2 linked regions of the Lonchura striata genome follow. The protein of the gene in region 1 purifies or fractionates together with the protein of each later gene. This does not show direct contact. Links are inferred from orthologs where the notes say so. Each region holds a gene or a part of one and is shown on either strand. Other genes may lie near its edges.

Evidence for each region. Proteins that work in one complex are often made in the same cells at the same time.
Region 2: the proteins of KRAS (region 1) and HNRNPA0 purify together in Homo sapiens (affinity purification with mass spectrometry; 3 studies listed by BioGRID and IntAct, with this or other methods). This does not show direct contact. The link is inferred for Lonchura striata from reciprocal best matches to the Homo sapiens genes KRAS and HNRNPA0.

Annotation. Positions count from the first base shown.
Region 1 is NC_134607.1:735,820-743,319, forward strand, and holds the start of KRAS (GTPase KRas), read right to left. Parts: upstream 3,039-7,500; 5' UTR 2,875-3,038; intron 1,992-2,874; 5' UTR 1,974-1,991; exon of another isoform or gene 1,883-1,973; 5' UTR 1,871-1,882; coding exon 1,760-1,870; intron 1-1,759. UniProt on the Homo sapiens protein: Ras proteins bind GDP/GTP and possess intrinsic GTPase activity. Plays an important role in the regulation of cell proliferation.
Region 2 is NC_134617.1:7,823,765-7,831,337, reverse strand, and holds the start of HNRNPA0 (heterogeneous nuclear ribonucleoprotein A0), read right to left. Parts: upstream 3,099-7,573; 5' UTR 2,774-3,098; coding exon 1,841-2,773; 3' UTR 1-1,840. UniProt on the Homo sapiens protein: mRNA-binding component of ribonucleosomes. Specifically binds AU-rich element (ARE)-containing mRNAs. Involved in post-transcriptional regulation of cytokines mRNAs.

The sequences.
Region 1 (7,500 bases):
TTAACTTGGTGTAATTCTTAAAGAACACAGGGATTCCGGACCACAGCACTGAATTTGTGGCTGCCCCATCCCTGAAAATGGCCAAGGCCAGGTTGGACAGGGCCTGGAGCACCCTGGTCTTGTGGAAGGTGTCCCTGCCCATGGGAACAAAATGATCTTTAAGGTCCCCTCCAACTCAAACCAGCCTATAATTCCATTAATAAAGACACAGTCCTAGGATTTTCAGGTTCATTCTCTAAGTAACTGTATTTCCATTTTATTACTTTACATTAAAAATGTATTTAATGCCCTTCAAATCACTCAGTTGGTGGAATAGCAAAATCCCTTAAGTGCTCCAGGAATACTGGCATTTAAGCTTCTGTGTTCCCAAATTGTTTACACAGTGACAATTTATAAAATGGAACCGGCACAGCACTTTCTGCAGTGCTTAAAATACACCTCTAACCTAAGAGAAACCCAGGTAATTATGAAAAAGCATCAAAGACCAACAGCCTCCAAAGGTCCTTTTGCAGGAAAAAGTAAAAACCCATTTGGCTTGTTCTTCTCAGCAAGTTTGGTGTGATTTTAAAGAGTGTTTGGGGTTGTTAAGACTTTCTATCTTAGTGTAGAAAGAGCTGCTCTGCTGGTGTAAGTCAAACAGAGTTTTCTGCACAGGTCTAGTCACAAAACCTCCTGCAAGAAAGATGTTATTTGGCCATGCAAGAGACAGACAAGAAGACACATGGAAAGAACCTCAAGTCAACACATCTCTGCTTGAGCTCAGGCCCTCACTAAATTTGTGCTACCTCAGGGCACTGGCTCCTCCTGCTTATGTCTCCCTGAAAATCACTACCTACACACTTCCCAAGTCTCCATTTTAAGCCCAGATTTAAACCCTTGTGATTCCTTCAAGTGAGCCTGGAAGTGCCTTGCTGGATAAACATATAAATGAAGTCATGAGATGCAGAGCTTCAGTGCTGGGAACATAAAAACCTGGGGTAAGTTATGGTGTCATTTCTCCTTTTATAGAGTCTGAGGTTGTTAAATGCAATGATCCACAGGAGATTTCAGACAACACCAGTATTTTCCTTGTATTTAAAAGGCAAAGCTTGCCTGCTCATTATAAACCTTCAAAACAGCACAACTTCTAAGATTATATACAATTTCAAACTTTGAGGTACTGAGCCATGTATTTCAAAGAACCCATTCCAGAAGCTATCTTATAACATCTTCTCTAGATAGGAAAACACGTACTGGTGTGTTTAAAGAGTGAAAAACCAAAACAGAACAGGCTCCAATTTTTGCTTCATTCACTGCAACATCCTAGGACACATTTCCCCCCGTGTGAAACATATCTCAGTGATAGGAGCTGAGAAAGACTGGCACACACATTTCATAACCACTAATTTTCCTTCTTATCAAAGAAAAAATGTCCCATTAAAGAGGTTGCACAAAGCTATGCAGAGTTTCACCAAGCATTTTCAAGTGAGTTTGCAAATACTTCGTCATAGAGATCCTAAACACACGCATCCACACTGCCCAAGGATACATAGCAATTAACACCATGCCTTTAATTGATCAAAACTGCCAATTTATTACTGCAGCTGTTGTTCCACAGCCAGATCAAAAAGCACAGCAATTCTGTCTCCAATGCAGAACATTATCTCTGAGCTCTTTTTACTATAAAGCCCTGTCCTTGTGGTAAGTACCCAAAAGGATACAAGCACCATTATGCACTGATAATCTCCCCTCACAAAAAGTATGAGACGGAAGTGTTTACCTCTATTGTGGGGTCATATTCATCCACAAAGTGATTCTGGATTAGCTGTATTGTCAAGGCGCTCTTGCCTACACCACCAGCTCCAACCACCACAAGTTTATACTCTGTCATTTTTTAGCAGACCTGATGACAAAGAAACCAACATTAAGCAGAGCTGGGCAACGAGGATGCTGCCGGTGCTTTCTCATTCAGCGTCAGGATCCTCTACTATTACCGGGAAGCAGCTCCCTCCCTGCAAGACAAGACAAAAAGGGATGAGGGAATGCTGTTCCTCCAACATTACACACACAGGGAATGTAGAGCGGGCACTCGGCCGACAGGCAGCGGTCACACCGAGATTTAAAAGAACACGAAATAAGTAAAAAAAAAAAAAACAAAACACAAAAACAAAACAAAACAAAAAAAAAACACAAAAAAAAACCCAAAAACAAAAAAAACCCACCACACTAAATAAATTTAAAAGGCACTGAATTCCAGGAAAAGTCCAAAGAGTATTTCGTGCAGGGAATTAACCCGTGCGGGGATTTAGTTCCCGGCGCCTCGCCGAGCCCGCCCGGGTTTCCCGGAGCGTCCCAGCCGCCCTCGGGATGAAGCTCACAGCCGGGAACGCGCCTCCCGCGTCCGGACAGGAGACACGGCGAGCACGGCTTCCCCCGCCGGCTTCCCCTGCGCTGTTCAGGGTGGGTTCCATCAATTTTTAATTGCCGGGCGAGCCGCGCCTGCGGGACCCCCGCGGCTCCCGGGGCATCGCCCGCCCCGCCCCGGCTCCCTCTGCCCCCGCCAGCGCCGCGCCCGCGCCGCCACAACTTTCCGGGTTTAAGGATTTGCGAGAAGGGCTGAGGGGGAAAAAAAATAAATCCGTGAGGGCTGGGGGATGTCTCGGGCGAGCGGCGGGTCCCGCAGGGCGTTGGCCACCTGTCCCCTCCCGCCGGGAAGGAGCGGGAATGCGGCTCCGGGGGATGCCGGCGGGAGCAGCGGGAGAGAAGAGAGGGAAAGGGACGGGAGGGGAACGGCGACAGCGGAGGAAAGGGGCGCCGACTGCGCTTCCCACCTTGAAGGGAAAGCGAGGAAGGAAGAGGGACGCCCCGGCTCGGCGGGGTGGGGAGAGGCGGTACCTGGCTGGCCGTGCCGCGGGAGCTCCCGGCACCCGCCGTGCCCGAGTCGCGTCCCTTCCTCCCCTCAGCTTTCCCTTCCCGCTCCGGGTCCCTTCCCTTCCCGTCCCGGTGCGAAATGGCGGGGGACGGGCAGGGCTGGGCGGGCGCTGCCCAGGGAGCCGAGCACCGATGCGCGGATGGACGGTCGCGATCGATGCGCTCGGCGCTCCAGCGCCCCTTGCGGCAGCGCCGGCACCGCCCTGCCGCTGCCGAGCGCGGGCCGCGGGTTCGAGGCGGCGTCCGGCCACTGCCGTGCGCAGCGCTGGGATCCTCGGCGGGAGGGAGCCTGCGAGCTCATGGAGCCGAGATCTTATAGGGACTGGGAAGGCTGAGGGAGCTGGGGCTGGTCAGCCTCGACAGGGGCCCTCAGCGCTGGCTGCAGGGAGGGCTCCGAGCAGGGCCCAGGCTCTGCTCTGAGGGCGCAGCAATGGCACCAGAGGAACAGGGAGTGATCCCAGAAGTTCCATCTGCACAGGAGGAAAAACCACTCCCACAGGTTGCCCTGAGAGGCTGGGAATTTCCTTCTCGGGGGGTATTCCCGAGCCGTCTAGACACGATCCAGTGTCCTGTGCTCCGGGATGGCCCTGCTGGAGCAGGGAGGCGGCACCAGGCGCCCCAGTGAGGGCCCGTCCATCGGGGAGAGGCTTGGAGGAGACCTTTGGGAAGGATCCGTCCGGGAAGTGCGTGCTGGAGGGCGGTGAAGGGAAATGTGCACAATTCCAGCATTTCCTCACTGTTTCCCCCTTCCCTCAGTGCCCGTGGGGACCTGGAGGGGAAGAGGCACAAGAGCCACCATAAAGCCCAGGACAGGCTCATCCTGAGGGGATGTCTGGGCTGCCCGGACAGGCATCGCCTGGTTACACGTGAGGAGCAGTTTTATCCATTATCGAACCAAATAAAGGTGGTCAGCTTTCAAAATAAAATGCAAGGTTTGATTTTTAGATCTGAATGAAATTAATAAACGCTCTGTTTGGGGTTTTTTAACAAGTTAACAGATGCACAGAAAACCATAATTTCGTACTAAAAGGCTAAAATCATAACTCCCTGTAACTGAAATAGAGAATCATAGACTGGCCTGAGTTGGAAGGGACCTTAAAGATCATCCAGTCCCACCCCCTGCCATGGGCAGGGACACCTTTCACTATCCCAGGGTGCTCCAAGTCTCATCCAACCTTGCCTTGGACACTGCCAGGGATAGGAAACTCTTTATGATCCCCATTTCACCCCTCCCACAAATTTAGGTGTCAGTAACCTAGTAGTTTTTGTGTTAAAGGTTATTTGGTTGTTTCCCAATAGCCGCAATAATAAAAAAAAATCCAAACCCTCACAAAAATCCATGTGACAGAGTAACATGAGATCATCTCACAAATCAGGGTTATTAATTAGGCTGCCTCACATGAGCAGATGTAAAACCCGAAAGTCAGACTTGCTTTCAAAGAACAAGTAGCCTGGTGGTAAAACCACAAGCTTGGGATGTGGGAAAGCCTGAACCCACACAGCCACAGCTGGGATCAGAAGAGTATCCGGAGAGCAGCTGCTGTTGGCAGAACCTTCTCCGTAAAAACTTCAGGTCCTGATGACAGCTTGTGCTGTCCTATCTCCATAGGATCTCAGTGAAATGTGCAAACAATCCTCTTGCGTGTCACGAGGAGGGAAAATGAATTGTTAGAATTCTGGAAAAAGCAGAATGCAAAGCTGCTTTTCTTGTGCACAGATTTTGTTTATAAATATCTATTACGAAACTGCTTTTTGCTGTATTTGCATTTAATTTGAAAATATCTTCTCATGCTCATGTGTAGAGTGGTTTGAAAACAGATCAAATAAATGAGCTGATCAAGAACATTAAGTGCCAGCCCATTCACTGCATTGATATGAAAGCTGGTGATAGTCAGCACAAGTGACGGAAAACCTCTTAGATTCTGTGGAAGTTTCCATCTTCATTTTAGTGACTGTTTCTCTGGGGTAATTTGCACAGAGGATTCTGAACACGTGCAAAGACAATGCACACCCTCAGATCCCAGAACACTTCAGTGTGCAGCTACATACTCCTGTTAAGTTAAAGTATATTTTCAATTCAAAGGTTTCTTCACAATGGCAATAAAATATTCCAGTCCCTGTCTTCTGGATCCTCTACAGGTATGGAACGTTGAGGACAGCACCAGTCACAGCTCCTTTCTCCAACAAGATGCCTCCCTTATGATATCGAGCACTAGGCCAAGTACAATCCCACAGATTTGCCTGTTCCTAAACATGATGCAATAAATTCAGACATTTTCACTTTGAGACTATAGGAGCATTCCTCACCTGTCAGCAGTGGCGGGCTGGGGGGGCAGGACATGTAAAATTCAGCTCCAGCCTGGGGATGAATAATAAGCTTTCCTTGTTAGCAGAGAGCATCAGACAAGCTGGGACAAGAGTTAATTTTCCTGTGGATTTTCCTGGCATTGAACTCTATGCAAAGCAGATGCAAAGCTAGTGTAGTGTTAGCACAGAAGGGTGAGTGGGTTTTGTGCAGCTTCAGGTTTGCCTGCTGTGAATTAGGAATATTAGTAAAAGGAATTTTTTTTTTAGATAGGCCAAGGGTGGTAGTGATACCTCCATTTGGGATATGCTAGCCTTGAGGTTCTACCTTTGCCTCTTCTCCCCCCCAGGAAAATTAAGACTTTTAAGGAAGTACTGCCAACTTCCTTCTGCTGCTCTCTTGTTGAGATCACCTACAGAAGATTTTTTCATTTTAAGTTCTATTTAGAACAGTACAAATGTGCTTGCAATTTTTTGTCTGCTGACACAGCAGGATACAATTATATTCCCCAAGACTTTTAACTCGCTAACTCTACTCAAGACAGGATCTACAAGACATTTATACAGTCGACTTAAACATATAAATATTTGCATCCATAGATAAATATCTATATGTGCAATTTGGAATATATGGGCTTATATTAAAATAAAGGCTATAGTTCTCATGAGATAGTGACTTTAATGCCCTGTCAAATTTCCTGGAGTGGTCTGGGGGGCTCCAGTAATTTTACATGTATAGATTGAAGTGTAAAGCAGCTGAACTCACCCAGAATATGAATACAGCATGTCTGGGCTCACGCTGAACGTGAATGTGTATTGCTCCATCATTGCAATTCTTTTTCAAATTATTGGATGGACCCCAAGAAATCCACAAACACAAACCCAAAAATCACATTTCAAACCCTCAGCTGTGTAAAGCACAAGCCTAGGTCCTGCTCCATTTGCTTCAGTGGCAACTTGGTTGGCCACTACCTGCTTCAAACACAAGAATAGCACGAGGTCCTGCAAACCTTCTTTCTTTTTTTAAACACGTAGGCACTAAAGAAAACATGGCTAATGCATTTTTCTGCAATAACATTAGATTTGGCTTAAAAATAACATGCTAAGATACATGGTATTTGTGAATGGTTTGACTTTTGGTTTAATTCAGCCATCTCTGACTTTTTGAATATAGTTCTCTACTAAAAATGGTGTGGGGAGAAAGGAACAACTCAACTGTGAACTATTCTTTACAAAACTGGATGCTTTTGCCATCCCACTAATGTCATCTGGCATTAATTAACATAGCATCTCCCTAATTATATTGTCAGCATACAGCCACCAAATTAAAATACAAAGACAATCATTAAAATTTCCCAATTTGACTTCAGCATTTCTTTTAAAGCATGATTTTTCAACTTTTGTGTATGTAGGAAATCATCCAAAGCCCACTGAAGTCAATGGGTTTCATCCCAGTGGGGCCCAGAAATGTTTGGAAAATATCAGTGGGGTGTCCAAATTTGTTTTGCCTCTCTACACCAAGTGATTCAATGCCTCTTTTCTGTTCTTGGCACCAGCAGCTCAGCACCCAAAACCGAGGGTGCAGGGCTGGTGGGTCCCTCAGGGGAGTGAGGACTATCATGTGGGAAGGAAAAGAGGGCATTAGCCACAGTGGAAGTCCCCCATCCCTCTGCTCCCTAAAAGGAACACAAGGAAGAAGGACTTTTATGCTGCCTGAGACAGCGTGGAAAAGCAGGAGGGATGCAGCACAACCTGCCTCCATCCCAGGTTTCTGTGTCATGTCAGGATCAGCTGGCCCCTGATGCTCTCCTCGTGAGTTTTGTAGCTCTTGTCTAACAGAGGGGAGGGCTGTGGAGGAGAACTGGTGCCTTGGTGTGTGCTTTCAGGCAGGGAGGGCTCTGAGGCCTTGAGCAAACCCTTAGGCTCCAGCTGAGTCCATCCTGCCTCAAACCACCTTGTTTTTGGGCGAGAGGAAGCCTCGTGTGGGGCTGATCCAGGCTGAGGGCAAGCCCAAAGCAAAACATTGCCTTGGTTTTGCCTTTGGGTATGGCCTAGAGCTCAGTCCTGCTCTCAGTGAATGGCATTGCTGCCACTTGTTTGTGCCTGGCCTCACACATTAGCACTGTCTGCCCTTCAGTATCACTGGCCTCTGCAAGCATCCCTTGGTGTTATGAAAACCTTTGGGATCGAGCTGATTTCTACCTCACCAAGAGCTTCACCTCTCTGGAGTTTGAAAAAACTATACATATCCCTGAGATGATCAGAAACACATGGAAAAATATTAAA
Region 2 (7,573 bases), on another chromosome or scaffold:
CCTACACATTTAATTTTTCAGTGTAATCAGTGGGAATTATATGCCTAATATCTTGCATATCTGGAGGAAAGCAAAAAGCAGCTTTTATGATGCAGTCCCACAAAACATCAGCATTCCAAGAGCTTAGAAACCTGAAGTCAAAATAACTTTGTACTTTTTAAATGCATGCCCCACATCATATATACTCTCACTCAAGCATATAAGGAATTCAAATCTTTTATTTGATATCCATAAACCCATAAACGTTGCTAATCTATATTTCTATGCAGGAAGGCAGTTTTCCCCTAAAACATTATGCTTTTTAATAAACAACAAACTTTAATTCTATTGCGTGAAAGGGCTACAAATATACATTTTTTAAATCAAGCAGACTACACAGATATCTTTGCTTTACAACTGGCACCTATGTTACTTGTACACTTGCTGGCTCACTTCTCAGAGCTCTTTGCCCAGTTTAGATCACCACTTTCTGAAATATGGTCAACTGCAATTATTATTTGTTAAATTACGTGCTGAGGCAGGTATTGCAAATCCATTCCTTTTTCCACCCCCACCCAATCAGTAGTCAGGGACCCCATCTTTATTCACGTGCAGATGTCACTGTATTCTACACCAGTCATCTAGTGGCATAAAAATAACTTTCCAAAGGTTGGTACAATTGTCAGCAAGCCAGTTTTACTCCTGCTTTAAGGAAGCCCACAGCACGGGGCTGCCATCCTGACAGCAGATGGAGCTGCCAGAGTTCTCAGGGAACTTTCAGGAAGAACAATAGTTCCGAGTGAAATCTGTTAACCCGGGGCTAGGAAAACAAGTATGCCTTTAATAGAAGGGATAAATGTCGACCCTTTCCTGGAAGGAATCACACAGAGACAAACCAAGGACTTGAAAACTAAGCAATAAGAAATTCTGAACATTTTATATGAATGAAGCACATGCTTAACACAAACTATTTCTTCAAAACTACACAATACATACGTTGATGGAAAAGTCCTACAGAAAAAACTGACCAACCATGTCAGCACGTCAAACTGTCTAGTACAAGATGGTGGATGCACACAAACTGCCAAAGTGAGAACGAGTATTTAAAAAACAGAACACATCCACGGATTAGTACTTCAAAAATTTCTCTGTCGAGTGTTTGAAAGCCACTAGCAAAAAAGTCAGTTAGGACCTTTACTGGCAACAAAATATTTACTACTCTAAGTACACTGAGATTTTAAAGCAGAGGAACACTTGCTTCAAACCTAGAAAAGCCTTAAAACCGTGCGGAATTGATCCTAGGAAAAAGAATTAGACGTATAAAGGTCAATGAACACAATGATTTATTTAAAAAATAAAAAACGTAAAAACCATTTTTTCCTCCTTTACAGAAATGTTAAAAGTCAGTCATGGGATCCGAGTAGCTTTTGTAGAAAAAAACGTAGTATCCAGGCATCGAGTCCTTACAACAAAGGAACTTCCCCCCAGCCTCCCCGGTTTTTACTCCAGATCAGCAAGACACTTCCCACCCCGCACCCCCCAAAAAACAAATTAAAACAAGACATTTTTCGTTGCTAGTATAAAAACGACCAAGGTCCAAGTAATAATAAAAAAATAGAGTCCATCAATGACTGTAACACAAAATATGTGTATGTGGGGCCCAGTCCATCTTCAGAGAGAAAGAAGTGGCACAGGCAGCAGAGGCGACCCTCAGGGGGCATTTAGGAGCCGCTCCCACGGAAGGGAGGCATTTAAAAGGAGCTGCCCTTCGGCGAATGAGGGGAGAAACCATTTAGAAGCTGCCCCGTATCGAAGGGAGGGCTCTCCACGCCCCCCCATCAATGGGTATGAGCGCTCCAGCTCAGAAAGAGCCGCCCCCGTAGCCTCCCCCACCATAGCCTCCTCTGTACGGTCCACTGTTACTGCGGCCCCCCCAGCTGCCGCCCCCTCCTCCACCTCCTCCGCCGCTCTTCATGGGGCCGTAGGAGGACTGGTGCTGGCTGTAGCTGCCGAACCCGCCGTACCCGTTGCCGTAGTCTCCGCCTCCCCCTCCGCCGCCGCCTCCGTAGGAACCGCTGCCATAGGAGCCGTACCCGCCGCCTCCTCCCCCGCCGTAGCCGCCGTAGCTGTTGTAGCCGCCGCCTCCTTTGGAAAGCCCGTTGTGATCCCGGTTGCCGGAGCCGCCGCCGCCCCGGCCCCTTCCTCCTCTGCCTCCCCGGGAGGGCCTGGAAGAGCCGCCGCCCCCCCCGCCCGCCTGGATGTCCTCCTTGGGCACGGCCTTCTTGACCTCCACTCGGTGGCCCTGGATCGGGTGGAACTTGACCACGGCCGCCTTATCGGCCGCGTCGTGGTTCTGGAAGTAGACGAAACCGAAGCCGCGCTTTTTCCCGCTCTGTTTGTCGGCGATGATCTCGGCCTTCTCCACGGGGCCGAACTGGCTGAAGTGCTGCACCAGGTCCCCTTCGCCCACGTCCCCTTTGAGGCCGCCCACGAAGAGCTTCTTCACCTTGGCGTGAGCGCCGGGCTTGGCCGAGTCCTCCCGGGACACGGCCCGCTTCAGCTCCACCGCATTCCCGTCCACCGCGTGGGGCGACGCGGCCATGGCGGCGTCCGCCTCCTCCACCGCCGAGTAGGTGACGAAGCCGAAGCACCGGGAGCGCTTGGTCTGCGGGTTGAGCACGACCACGCAGTCGGTGAGGGTGCCGTAGGCCGCGAAGTGCTCCCGCAGCCCGGCCTCCGTGGTCTGCACGTTCAGCCCGCCGATGAACAGCTTGCACAGCTGCGAGTTCTCCATGCTGCCTCCGGTGCCGCGCCTGGGCCTGGCGCCGAAACTCCTCCTCCTGTTCGGGGGCAGCTCCGGAGGTTTTTTCCCCCCCTGCTCCGTCTTGCCGCTTCTTTCCCCTGCGAGCAACGCGACCTCTTCGCGGCTGCGGCGGCCGCCGGCGGTAGCTCGCTCGGCGCGGCCCGGCGCCTCCGCTCCGCCTCACCTGACCGGCAGCACAGTCGGGGCGTCCCCGGTGCCGCCGCTGCCCCGGGAAGGCGGGCGGGGGTGGGCGCGAACACAGGCGCGCACAAAATGGCGGCAGCGGCTTCTCGGGAGCGCGGCCGGCGACTGGTGCCCACACAAAGGGGCCGCCGGGAGCCCCGCCCCCCGGGCCGGCCTCCGCCGCCGCCGCAGCCAATGAGAGCGACGCGCCGGCGGCGCCCGCCACTCACGCCTAAGGGGCGTGGCTTAGGCCGCGATGGACGTGTGCGGCAACCAATGAAAGGGCGCGACCTCCGCAAAAGTCCCGAGGTTCGCCGGGGACGGACGCGGCGGGCAGCCAATAGGAACGCGGGACGCGTTCGGCGCGCGCCGGGCGGAGGGGCGGGGCAGTACGTCAATGCGCCGGGCCCGCGGCCGGCAGCCAATGGGACGCCGCCCGCGTCCCGGCGCGCGCTCCCTCTCCGTTGGCCCCGCCCCTCGGGGGGCGGGGCGCGCGGGAGCGTTTGAACGGCGGGGACCGTTGGGCGCGCGGGGCTCGGGCCGCCCTCAGAGCGCGGCCCCGGCCCCGGGACGGGAGAGCCCCGGCGAGCCACACCCCGCATCCCGGCCTGCCAGCACTCTGCGCTCTAAAGTTCTCCCTCGCGTTCACGTGGAACTCGCCGTGCTTCTGTTTGTGCCGTTGCCTCGCGCTCCCGTGAAGCGGAGCCCGGCCCGCCCCTTGGCCGCGCCCCGTGGGTACGGACGCTGCCGGCGGCACCCGGCGGGCACGGCCCGGCTGCGGCCCTGGGCTCGGCCCTCGCCCGCCCTCCGCTCCCCGCAGCGATGGCGCTTCCCTCCTTCGTGCCGCCTTCGCCTTGGTAACCGCTCCCAGCGCACGGGATGCGAGGAGCGGCCTCCGGGTGTGACAGAGAAGGTTTAGTTGGATATCAGGGAAGAATTCTTCACCGAAAGCAAGCTGCCAGGTGGAGTCGCATCTCTGGAGGGTTTAAAAGACAGCGCGGATGTCGCGCTTGGGGTCACGGTTCAGCGGTGGCTTTGGCAGTGCCGCAGGAAGGGTTCGAGTCGATCATCTTGAAGGGCTTGTCCAACTTACACATTTTTGTGATTCCTTCTCACTATTCCTGCTACTGTTTCCTCCCCTGCTTTCTCTTTCCAACCCTATCACAGCCTACGCACCCTTAGATCTCTCCTTAGCTCTGAAAATGAGGTATTTTCTCAGCGAAATTATTAGAGCTGTTCAAGAGTGTGCAAGCCCTGTGGAATGACAAATAGTGAGACAATTTTCCTTTTTTTTCCCCTCTTACTTTGATAGTGCATTAAACATTGCTGTCATGAAGACTGCAGCATTACTTTCAACTTAAGTGAATTTTTCATTAGAAAGATTCTTTTTTTGGTCTTACAGTCACTAGGGTTTATGTTAAAATTAAGCGGGAGCTAAGAATGACTGTTGTTCTGCATTAGGCACTGTCAGGATGTAGTTCCACAGTTCCCTGAACTGATCCTGCCTTTTCCCATGTGCCAACCTTGATGCTTCTGCAAACACACAGCATCCACATAAGAGAACTGAGACAGTCATAAATGGTTTTATCATGACAAAGGAACTGGTTTTCAGCTGCCTCAGCTTTCTGAAACATTTTTTGCATGATCTGCTGGTGCTGGCAGGAGGGAGGAAGCAGAACTGCAGCATCCCCCTGATGATGATCAATTGGAAATGCTCCCTTGGAGACACAGACACAAGAAGAACACTGACCGTGCTGGAAGGTTGGTTAACCACAGCCCCAGAGGAACTCCAGAGAGGCTGAACATGCTTTTGTCTCACAGGCTATGATCCTCATTAACCTGTAGCATTGATACTTGCAGTACAGTAATCTGATTTTACTCAGATTGGATTTTTTTATGCTATAGCCAAGTCTATAGTAAGAGTAACTTATTAAATAACTATGTTTGACAATCACAAGGAAAGTTGTCATGGCTTTAGATCCATTTATCTCAATGCATGAACTGACACCATCACTTTATATAGTTTAAGAAAAAGAATATCCCATAATGCCACTGAAATATCTCTGGTTTTAAAATAAACAAACATATCCTACTGTATTAAATAAAAATCTTCCCAGAGGCTGTCTGCAAGCTGCACATAAATTACAGGAAATACAAAACTATTTTGCCTACTAGTTATTGTAAGATCTGTATGGCCCTTCACAAGATAAATTAGTATGTGTCATGTGGAAAATAATCCATGGGAGTTTTGTAGACCTATAGTAATTTAGAGCAAAAAGGATGAAAAATTAAGATGAGCTAATTATGACCTCAACAGATAACAAATCAAAGTTTGTTTACACCACACTTTCTCTCCCTGAAAGCCAGACAAGTAAGCCAAGGAACAGATCAAAGAAAAAAGCTGCAGCTTGCATCACGAGGAGATGAGGGTCCTTAAGGTGTGAATAAATCAGTAGGAAAAATCAGCCACTGACTCAATTCAGGTGTAGCCCAAATTCTTCCTCTTCATTTACACTTCTAGCTGGTTGATTAATGAAAGGAAAACACCTTTAAGACACACATACCCATGTCATGCAGGTGGAAATGTCTCCTCTGAAAATGCACAAAGGCCAAACTGCACTTGGCCCGGTGTCCCCACCTTTCCCAGCTGCTGGAGTGAGCTCGTGTTGTTCATTCACACCTCCGCTCAAAGCCTGCTCTGAGTTCAGTCCCTGCCCTGGCAGGGCTGAGAGCCTGCACACGTCCATGTGCCCTGACACAGCCCCGGGCTCTGGGATGCACATCAGCTTCTCCTGCACACATCCATGTGCCCTGACACAGCCCCAGGCTCTGGGATGCACATCAGCTTCTCCTGCACACATCCTTGTGCCCTGGCACATCCCCGGGCTCTGGGATGCACATCAGCTTCTCCTGCACACGTCCATGTGCCCTGACACAGCCCCGGGCTCTGGGATGCACATCAGCTTCTCCTGCACACGTCCATGTGCCCTGACACAGCCCCAGGCTCTGGGATGCACATCAGCTTCTCCTGCAGCCCCCAGAGACCTTCCTTCCTCCCAGGTCATCCTCGGAGGCTCCAACCGGACCTCTCCAGTCACTGTTGGATTCACGCCTGCTGAGGCACCAGTCACCCGAGCTGTGCAGCAAATCACTTGGCACACACATTCCCAGGAAAGGTGCCTTTCTCTGCTCCTGAAATGAGCTTTTCCTTCAAGCTACATGAGCCAACGAGACACAGGTGCTGCCACAGTGTGAGTGCAGAACCAAAGATGAGTCTCCCGTGTGTGAGATGTAAACCAGAAACACTCCAGCTGCCACAGCAGCTTCCCCACAGAATTTTTAAACTGCTTCTTCCTGTAAACTAGTAAATGCATAATACCATCCTATGGATATAAAAATTCTTAGGAAAGTATAATGCAATAGGAATACACACTTTTCACTTTCCAACAAGGCAATTGCAGCATGACATTTTTTTCAGCTCTACTAGCAACCTATAGAATAAAAAAAAAATCAGCAGCCAAAGTTTCTAAAGTTAGGTGCTTTTTCAGCTCCACCTGTATCATTACCAAAAGAAGATGTGTTTCTCAAATCAGACACATTAGCCAAATAATGCCAATTAAATCAAATATCTTAATGGGACATTTTAATTAGTGCGTTAGGAAGAAGGAAAACCAAATCATGTTCATGCATACACCTTTCTGGTTATTCAGAAGAAATCGTTCTAGCCAGAGTCCACAGGAGGGCATTGCTGCTTAAGAGATTGAAAACCAGAAGTCTGAGCAGTCCCTTTCCAACACGACTTCCTGTGTTACCATATATTCTTAGTAAAAGCTGATGCAAAATAAACTATTAAGGAATTTTTTATATCCATTTTGTCATTCAAGAAACATAACTTTGTCATGCTATTTAATGGGTCCAAACTGCCAAGACTGAAAATTAATAATTAAGTTTTGGAAAAGAGCATGAAGGGCAATGGAAAAACATCATGAATTCAGAAGTAGTTATTAAGTTATAAATGTTTTATCTAAACCCTCATATAAACACAAAGTCATATCTTTTTAACTAGTTTCAACATCTTTAGTTACATCTGTGGCTTCCACTCTTGGCAGGCATCGATTATTTTCTTAAGCAATTTATGTACATCACAATTTTTAATGAGTTTAAGTATTTTTTTGTATAGTACAATGCTCTAGACTTAGATTTAGTTTGACCTTTCAGCAGACAGAAAGCATTTTGAAATTTCATGCGGACTGCTGAATTCTGCATTCACATTGAAAATTGTAATAACATCACCTTAGCTACACACACATTTCACCCAGATTTTTCTAACTGTGAATAGATGGGAACAGTTGGGAATACAAGGGATCCAACTATAATTTCCCACATCACTCTGAGATACACACAGAAGCAAAGATTTTTATTTACATCCTTTCAATGAGATATTATTAGACTTTTGGAAGGCTCAGTCCTACCCAAATCAACACCTCAGGCAGAGTGTAATTGTGTGGTTCATAGGGAGCATGTTGTGTAAAAAAACAGCAGCACCACAAGCATTCCCAGCCTGGCACCTTGCTTTAGTTACAGGTGCAAAAACTTCTGAAAAGGGTA